Macaca fascicularis: one gene and its partner. Each later gene encodes a partner of the first gene's protein in a complex. Links are inferred from orthologs where the notes say so. Each region holds a gene or a part of one and is shown in the gene's direction. Other genes may lie near its edges.

What was found. The genes of interacting proteins can lie anywhere in the genome.
Region 2: the proteins of KIF13B (region 1) and ADAP1 are in contact, whole or in part, in a crystal structure (PDB 3MDB), measured with the Homo sapiens proteins. The link is inferred for Macaca fascicularis from reciprocal best matches to the Homo sapiens genes KIF13B and ADAP1. Residues at the interface, in NP_056069.2 of Homo sapiens: Val451, Asn452, Leu453, Asn454, Ala455, Asp456, Pro457, Leu463, Arg512, Phe514, Asn516, Gly517, Arg531, Leu533, Asn536, Asn537, Phe539; in NP_006860.2 of Homo sapiens: Trp137, Asn143, Gly144, Gln145, Phe146, Leu147, Pro186, Ala187, Lys188, Ile189, Gly190, His191, Pro192, His193, Tyr211, Glu213.

Annotation. Positions count from the first base shown.
Region 1 is NC_088382.1:32,445,872-32,450,027, reverse strand, and holds the start of KIF13B (kinesin-like protein KIF13B), read left to right. Parts: upstream 1-1,301; 5' UTR 1,302-1,360; coding exon 1,361-1,415; intron 1,416-4,156. UniProt on the Homo sapiens protein: Involved in reorganization of the cortical cytoskeleton. Regulates axon formation by promoting the formation of extra axons. May be functionally important for the intracellular trafficking of MAGUKs and associated protein complexes.
Region 2 is NC_088377.1:34,408,416-34,412,494, reverse strand, and holds the start of ADAP1 (arf-GAP with dual PH domain-containing protein 1), read left to right. Parts: upstream 1-1,229; 5' UTR 1,230-1,431; coding exon 1,432-1,513; intron 1,514-4,079. UniProt on the Homo sapiens protein: GTPase-activating protein for the ADP ribosylation factor family. Binds phosphatidylinositol 3,4,5-trisphosphate (PtdInsP3) and inositol 1,3,4,5-tetrakisphosphate (InsP4). Regulates the incorporation of CD63 and CD9 into multivesicular bodies.

The DNA of each region.
Region 1 (4,156 bases):
TGACAACACTGCTTGTATTGAAGATGTTCAGTAACAGGATGGTTGATAAAAGGGCAAGTCTTGCCAGCTTTCTGTATTTACTCATCTGTAAAATGGTTCTGAGTTCTATTACTATCATTTAAACACATCTAAGCAGGGGTCACCAACCCACAAGGTCCAGGCACATGTGTGGTAAAGCCACCTGGAGGGAGGCTGTGGTGAAGTGGAGAGAGACTGGCCTTTGATAAAGGCGGCTGCTGCTAGTTAGTTCCAATCCACTCTGTCCAATGTGTAATGTAGGCCCAGTACTGCAAGCACAAATCTGATTTCACACTCTGTCACCCAAGCTGGTCTCAAACTCCTGGCCTCAAGCGATCCTCCTGCATCAGTATCCTAAAATGCTGGGATTCCAGGTGTGACCCCCTGCCCCTGGCCACAAATCTGATTTTTATGTGTTGGCCAACACTGTTGGGCTAAACAGAACATGTTTGCAGGCTGGCTCTGGCCCACAGGGTCACCTGTTAGAATGTCTGCCAGGGCTAATAAAAAGCTAATTTTAGTGTGGCCTCATTGATTCATTCCTGCAATTAACGTTTATGGGTCTCTACTAAAGGCTAGGTTACACATGTAAGTTAATCTTATTTAAAAATGTACCTATTTTATTAGGTACTAGCATCATCTCCACTTTCCATATTAAAGACAAACCCAGAGCGGTGAAATAACTTGCCCCTGGTCACACAGTGGGAAGCGCTGAGGTGGGATTTGAACTCAGATGGTTTTCAGAGCCCAAAGTCCTGTCTCAAAGGAGGGCGACTCATAGGACAATGTTAACCTATGCACCTATGGACACTCCCAGAAAAGGTGATTTGCAACTTGTCTTGAAGGACGTCCTCAGCGGACAAGGCTGGACTGCAATCTAGGCAGAGGAAATAACTTGAGCCAGGGATCAAACACTAAGATTGGCAGGAAATGAGCAGGAAGAGGTAGCGGGGTCCCTGACGCCATCTATTCAACTGTTTTTCAGAAAAGGTATCAGCTCTCGAAGGCTTACTTCTCGAAGGCTTACATCTTGCGAGAGCAAGAATGGTGTGTAAAGACGGGAATTTACAAAAGCCCTCACTGCTGACCGTAAGTGCCAGCAAACGACTCGCGCCCTAGCTTTCCCGCCTCCGCCTCCGCTGCGGCTCCGCCCACGACCCTGGGGAACTACAAGTCCCGTCATGCACCAGCGCGCGCCGGGAGCTCGCTCCTGCCCCGCCCCCAGCCCGGTCCCCGCCCCCCGCCCCGCCCCGCCCTCGGCCCCCTCCCGCCGGGTCAGCCCCGAAGAGTCGCCGGTGGCCGCGGCAGACGGAAGCAGAACGAGTGCCTCGGCGGCCGCAGGATGGGGGACTCCAAAGTGAAAGTGGCGGTGCGGATCCGACCCATGAACCGGCGAGGTGAGAGCCGAGCCCCCCCGGGCCGCCGGGGCTGAGGCGGCAGGTGCCTGGCGCGCCCGTCCCTCGGCCGCCGTGGGGGGTCTGGCGGCCCCGCCCCTATAGTCTGCGGCGGGGCGCGAGGAGGGGCCCGCGGACCCTGAAACCCGCGCCCGCGCTGAGTCGCCCGGCTCCCTCTTCTCCCCTCCCTTCCCCCCCTGGCCAGTCCCGTACCGGGAGCCGCCAGGCCCCTCGTGCCGGCCCCGCTGCCCCTTCCGCCTGCGCCCGCCCCGCCCCGGCGCCCTTTCGCCCTCTCGTCTCCCCCGGAGGTTCCCGAGGGCGCCCTAGGCCCTGTCGCCCCGCCTCGCCCTGGCCCCTCAGCCCCGCGCCTTCCCCGCCAGCTGTCACTGTCGCCCCCGCGCGCGGGTCGCCAGCCCCTGCAACCCGCCTCGGGACCGCCCGGGACCCCGCGTCTCGCCCGGGTCTCCCAAGCCTGCACCGCCGCGGCCCGCGGCGGGAAGGAGGGCAGGGGGCCAGGTGGGTGTCTCGCGGCGAGTTCCTTCCACCTGGGCGTCCTGAGATTCAGGTCAGGTGGAGGAGATGCCTTTTTCGTTGTTTTTGGACAGTCGAGAAAGTTTTGGTTTTGCCTGAAGTCTCATTGGTCATCTCTCAATAAATAGCTTAAGTGCCAAGATTCTTGTGGAATTGTATCTTTCTGACATTCTCTTAAGTCTGCAGGGAGGGTAGAGAAAGCAGATAAACCGAGTACATTGAAGTCATCTGTAGACCCAGGGAGTGGAGAGAACCCCAAAAGTCGGGAGAAGGTGGGCTGGGTCTTGGCTTTGATAGTAAAAAGCAGCGTGACTGGGCGAGTTGCTTTAAATAAGATAATGTATTTGAAAACGCTTTATATACAAGGTTCTATCATTGGGGTCACTATTACTGTCCCAGGGGATGACTTTGCCATTGATAAGACTTTGAACTAATTAGAATCTTTTAAGTACCAGAGACAACTAAGAAGTTGTAGCTTCTTAGCAAAATCAAATGTTAATTTTTATGTAGAAATTATAGGTTGTTTTCCTCTTCTTTGCTCTTTTTTGTGTATATTGAGACGTACAGATCAATCAGTTGACATAAGCTTTGTTGGTTTGTCCTTCTCGGGGAAATTGGTTTCTCGCTTGGAGTTATCTCGTCTATGGGAATTGGTTTGTCCTGTTTCTGCTAGGTCCGATTAAGGCTGTCAGGTGAGTTTTTTTCCTTAAGAACTTAATTACTTTAAGTTCTCAACTAGTGCAAGATTGAGTCCTGCTTTGCTTCACTAATCTCGTACTCTGACAACACAAAGCAAACGTCGATGCAATTCTGAAAATTTTCAGAAGCGTCAGTTTTTAAATATTCAGGTATTTGTATTTCAGTTTACTTCCAGTTTACCATCACAATAATTTAAAGAAAGAAGCCAAATGAAACATATCTGGGAACTGATTCTGAAAGGATGGTTTCAGCACATTCTTAAAATTTCCTTTTCACAAAAAACTTGGAAATGTCAGTGCTAAAAAGAGGCCGTGAACCAACCACCACAAAAGACATCTCAGATATTTAGAGCCCTTCTTTCCCTCTCCCTTTCTCCATTGGTTTCACTTTTTGAGGGGAATTCGTATGCTTTTCACTCATAAATTGCCATTGATAAGGTTGTAATAAACATCAGAGTTTAGAGGAAGGCAAAGAAATAATAGTTTTAGCTGTGGAATGGATGTGAGCTGATCCTTGGGTTCAACTCATTTTAAAATTGAGGTTTACCCGTAGATTCCATTAGCCTATATAGAGAAGTGCATTATTTGGAGTAAAGTACCTCCTGAGTTCACTTAGTGCCCATTCTTAGCCTTATATTTCCTGACATGCATGTGGACTTCTTTTTTCAGTGATTACCACACATAAATTTGTTCTTTTCCATTTTTGCTGTGAAGTAATTGTTAACATAAATAAAAAGGTTATTATGGAATACAGTGTGGTGGGATTCTAAATCCAGTGATTTTTAAAAATTGGCATCTAAAGTTTGTATAGAAAGACTAAAACAGGCCAGGCACGGTGGCTCACGCCTGTAATCCCAGCACTTTGGGAGGCCGAGGCAGGTGGATCACCTGAGGTCAGGAGTTCGAGACCAGCCTGCCCAACATGGCGAAACTCTGTCTCTACTAAAAATATAAAAAATTAGCCAGGCGTGGTGTCGGGTGCCTGTAATCCCAGCTACTTGGGAAGCTGAGGCAGGAGAATCGCCTGAACCTGGGAGGCGGAGGTTGCAGTGAGCTAATATTGCGCCACTGTGCTCCAGCCTGGGTGACAAGAGCAAAACTCCGTCTCAAAAAAAAAGATTAAAAACCATTTTTCTTTCCAGTAATTTCTTTTTTTCTTCCTCATATGATCTGTAGGAACCTTTCCCTTAATTTTGAAAAGAATATTACTTTGAACAGTTATTAGTATTATAGTGTATAATTATGACAAATAGTAAAACTTGAGTCCTAATAGTTTCTATCATAACGTATAAGTGCAGGAAGCAACCTTATAAATCACTGTCCACAAATGAGGGGATGAGAATGGATTACTGTGATGATGTAGTTTTACTGTATAGACTCTGATATTTGGAATCACATTAGTTATCTTTTGAGGAAAATCTGAAAATTTCCAGAAAACTCCGGTGTATTAAGTCCTTGTGTGATTCAGTGTCTGGTTGTGCTTAGCTGTTTGGCGTTTTAAGGTGGTTAGCTGAT
Region 2 (4,079 bases), on another chromosome or scaffold:
ACCCAGGACTTCAAGACCAGCCTGGCAACATAGGAAGATCCCCATCTCTACAAAAAAAAAAAAAAAAAAAAAAAAAAAAAAAAAAAAAAATTCTTTTTTTTAGAGACAGGGTCTCCCCTCTCTTCCCCAGGCTGGAGTGCAGTGACACCATCATAGCTCACTGCAGCCTCAGCTTCTGGGCTCAAGTGATCCTCCTGCCTCCGCCTCCTGAGTAACTGGGACTCCAGGCCCCCACCGTCACACCCGGCTAAATTTTGTATTTGTAGAGATGGGGTCTTGCCATGTTGCGCAGGTTGGTCTCAAACTGCTGAGCTCAAGCGATCCACCAGCCCTGGCCTCCCAAAGTGCTGAGATTACAGCCCTTAGCCAAAACCCTGTCTCCATAAATGATTAAATAAATGAAAGGCCACAGGCCTCAGACCGTTCATTCTGGAAGGTGCTGAGGAATTGTTTGTTAATAGTGGTTGCCTGGAAGGCAGCGGGGGGAGGCTTTCCTTTTTCAGTCTGGTATGTTCCAGTTTGTTTTCAGCCGGGCGTACTGCACTAACAATATAAGAAGAAAATGGAAAGAATTTGAAAAGACGCTGGGGTGTGCAGAGGAAGGGCACCCAAGTCTGGGGAAGGCGACATCAAACCCAGGCTTTTTGTTACCTGTCAGCCCCCATGTGAAGTCCCCGCCGGGCCCCTCAGCCAGCCTGAGTGGGAGGAGTGCTCAGAGGGTCCCCTCTGTGGGTGGTGGGCAGCTGGGTGGGTCTCAGGGGGAGGCTCCCTCTGGGGCCTCTGCGGCCTCAGTGCCCTGGGATGCTGGCGTTTGTCACTTGCTGGCCGCCCCTCCCAGGCAGGGATGGTGTGAGCGCCCTGGTCCCTAGCGCAGAACACACACGCCTGCCTTGCATGAGCACCCCCGTGCCCATGGTCTTGGGGGGCTCGGCAGGTGCCCTCTGCACCCCCCACAGTAGGTGTGCAGGTTCCGTCCCAGCGCGCGTGGCGGCACGAGGGTCCCATCCAGTCCGGCCAGGTTTTGGGGCGGCCTCTCGCCCAGGCAGGTGGGATGCTGCGCGCGGATGAGGGGCGGGCAGCGGGCTACTTCCCGGTGGGTCCCCGGGGCGCGCGGGCTGGGGGCGCCGGAGCGGCCGAGGGAGGAGGCCACACGCTCGCCTGCACCGCTGGGGGCCGCCCGCGGGCCTTGCCGGCCAGAGCGCAGCGTGCGCCCCGGGCCCCGCGCCGGCACTCGCTCAGCGACCGCGGCGGAGACACGAGCGGCGGCGGCGGAGCCCGGAGGGCGGCGGGAATGCGGAACCGGCGCGCGGGCTGAGGCCGCCCGGCATGGCGCAGGGGCGGCGGCGGCGGGCGGCCTGCGCGGGGCCCTAGCGAGCCGGCGGACGCTCCGGGCCCCGGCCCCGGCATCGGCATCGCGGGCGCATCGCGGCCATGGCCAAGGAGCGGCGCAGGGCGGTCCTGGAGCTGCTGCAGCGGCCGGGGAACGCGCGCTGCGCGGACTGCGGCGCCCCGGGTAGGTGTGGGCCGGGTGGGCGCGGGGCCGGGTGGGTCCCGGGTGGGCGCGGGGTGCCGGGTGGGTCCTGGGTGGGCCCCAGGGACCGGGCGGGGGACCGCGGACGCCGCGGGGGTGGCGGTGCTGAACACCGGGCCGGCGCTCGGATGGGGCCCGGGCCCGGCTGCACCTGCGGGACCCGGACGTCTCCCCGGGCCGGGCGGAGCGGGAGGCGCCCCCAGGACCCCCGGAAATCCCCCTGCCGCCGCCTCCCCTCCCCCTCCGGGCTGCGTGTCTGACGGTCACCGCGGACCGCCCGCCGCGTTGCGAAAGCTCGGGCTCCGCACAGAAAGAGGAAATCGGGGCTGGCTGCAGGGAGGGAACGGGCCGCCAGCTGGAGGGCTCTGCTGGACTGTGGGGTCCCCCGGCTCCGGGGCCACCTCGCGGTGACGTCATGCCTCACTCCCTCCCCGCACCGGGGGTCCCTGGGTGTGAGCGGCGCCCCTCCCCCGGCTCCCTGCACCTGGCTGCTCCGGGGCGGGCGCCAGGACAGGTGAGGCCTGGAAGAGGTGGGGCCGGACGCAGGTCCTCGTCCACCTGCCGCCCGCCCGTTCGTTCTCCCGGCCGGGCATCCCTGACTCGGTTCCTAGGTCTGTGGGATTTCAAGGCACAGGAGTCCAAAGGCGCGGAGTCCCTCCCTTCCAGGCCACTGGTCCTGCCATTGGCTGTGAACGGGGCCCAGTGCCCAGACCAGCCCTGCCCTGCTTCGGAGCTGTCAGCCCCAGGCCGGCTGCGCTGTGGGGAGAGGGCCCTGCCAGGGCAGTCCTGCCACCCCAGGCACACCAGGAATCTGGGGGCCAATAGCCTGAGCCCCTTGGAACAAACCTAAACTCACCAAGGATGGCTGAGGTCCCCAGGGAGAGAGCGGGGAAAGACCCTGCATTTGCCCCCAAGGCCCTGGTTCAGCATGCAGTCTCTGGACACCCCGGAAATAGGATCTGATTCCCTCTGGGATGGAGGGGTCTCTGCCAGCCCCAGGTCGTGGTGGCTGCTGTCCAGCCACAGCTTGGCCCGAGAGTCCACACCAGGAGCTGGGGTGTCCCAGAGGGGAAATAGTGACAGGCTTTTCTGGAAAGACAGGCAGGACCCACGGCCTTTCCGTGGTCTCCTGAGGCAGGGCGGCTGCAGGGCCAGTGCAATGGTGTGGTGGGGGCGGCCCCCTGGGCTGGCTCGCACGAGAATCTCTTACCCCAGATCTTTATTTCCTCCTGTTCAGGAATGCTCCCCTGGAGAGTCAGTGGGAAAGGGCCTGGCCTGGGGTTGCTATGGCCCACGGGGAGGGGAGCTGGGCTTGTCTCTGAACCTCTGATCCCTGGCCACACAGCCTGGGAGCAGCTTCTCTGGACTCAGAGCCCCTCTCCAGCTGCCCTCTGGCCCTCCCAGCCTGGCAGGAGGAAGAAAGAGGGCACTTCCCTGGCCTGCTGGGCCCTTCAGTGGCCCTCCCCTCCCAGTGGGTGCAGGTGTGCCTGGCCCACCACAGAGCTGTTCTCGGCCCTCCCCCTGCCCGGTGCTGCTGGGCACAGGGCCGCACCTGTGCCTTCTCAGAATTGGTCCATGACCTCAGTGACTCGCCTCCTCTGTCGGGTAGCGCCATGGAGCGGGGATGCTGTGAGGGGTTGTTCTCATTTCACAGCCAGGGAGACTGATGCATTGCAAACTGGAGCTGGGGATATGGGTCACACCCGGCCGCTGTGCTTGTCCCCGCTCCCCAGGGCTGTGGCCACAGGGTGGAACAGGAGGTGTCAGGAGACGGGGGGCTGCCCGGACCCCATGACCCCATGGCACACCCTTGAGGGCGCTATGCTGCTTTGCTGATGCGGCTGCTCTGGGATCTCCTGTTCCTGCTGTGGCCCAGCTGGGTGACAAGGAGCCACTCCAGTATTGATGGGGACTGGGGTGACCAGCACGTTCTGCTTTCCTCAGAACACTGTCCTGTGCACTGGCTCTCGGCTGGTGCAGACCCGGACAGCAGGACATCAGACAGTCCCAGGCCACCTCTGAACGCCAGGCCTGTGGGTGCTGGGGTAGACTTGAGCAGGCCCCACCTACTGGCCGTGTGAGGGAAGCCACATGGTCTGGGGGTCTCTGAGGCCTCCACAGAAGCTCCTTCCAAACTCCCATGATCTGTCCCACTAGTGGGTTCCCCTGACCTTGAACAGGTCCTCACCCAGCGGCCACCCAGAGAGCCTCTCCTCACAGGCCTGGCAGGTGGGCGAGTTGGGGCGTGCTTGGACCCACTGTCCTGCAAGACCTGGGTGGGGGTCTCCATCCTGGGTGGGGCTTGGGGGAGGGAGGAGGTGCCTCTGTGCATCCTTGGCGCTGCCTGCCTAATTGCAACAGAGGACAGGAATCAGGCGCGGTGGCTCACGCCTGTAATCCCAATACTGGGAGGCTGAGGCGGGAGGATCGCTTGAGGCCAGGAGTTGGAAGCTGCAGTGATACACTCCATCCTAGGCCAGAGTGAGACCCTGTCTCAAAAAAAAAGAAAAACAGACATATTCTCCTTTTTGAGTCTCAGCCCGTCTGA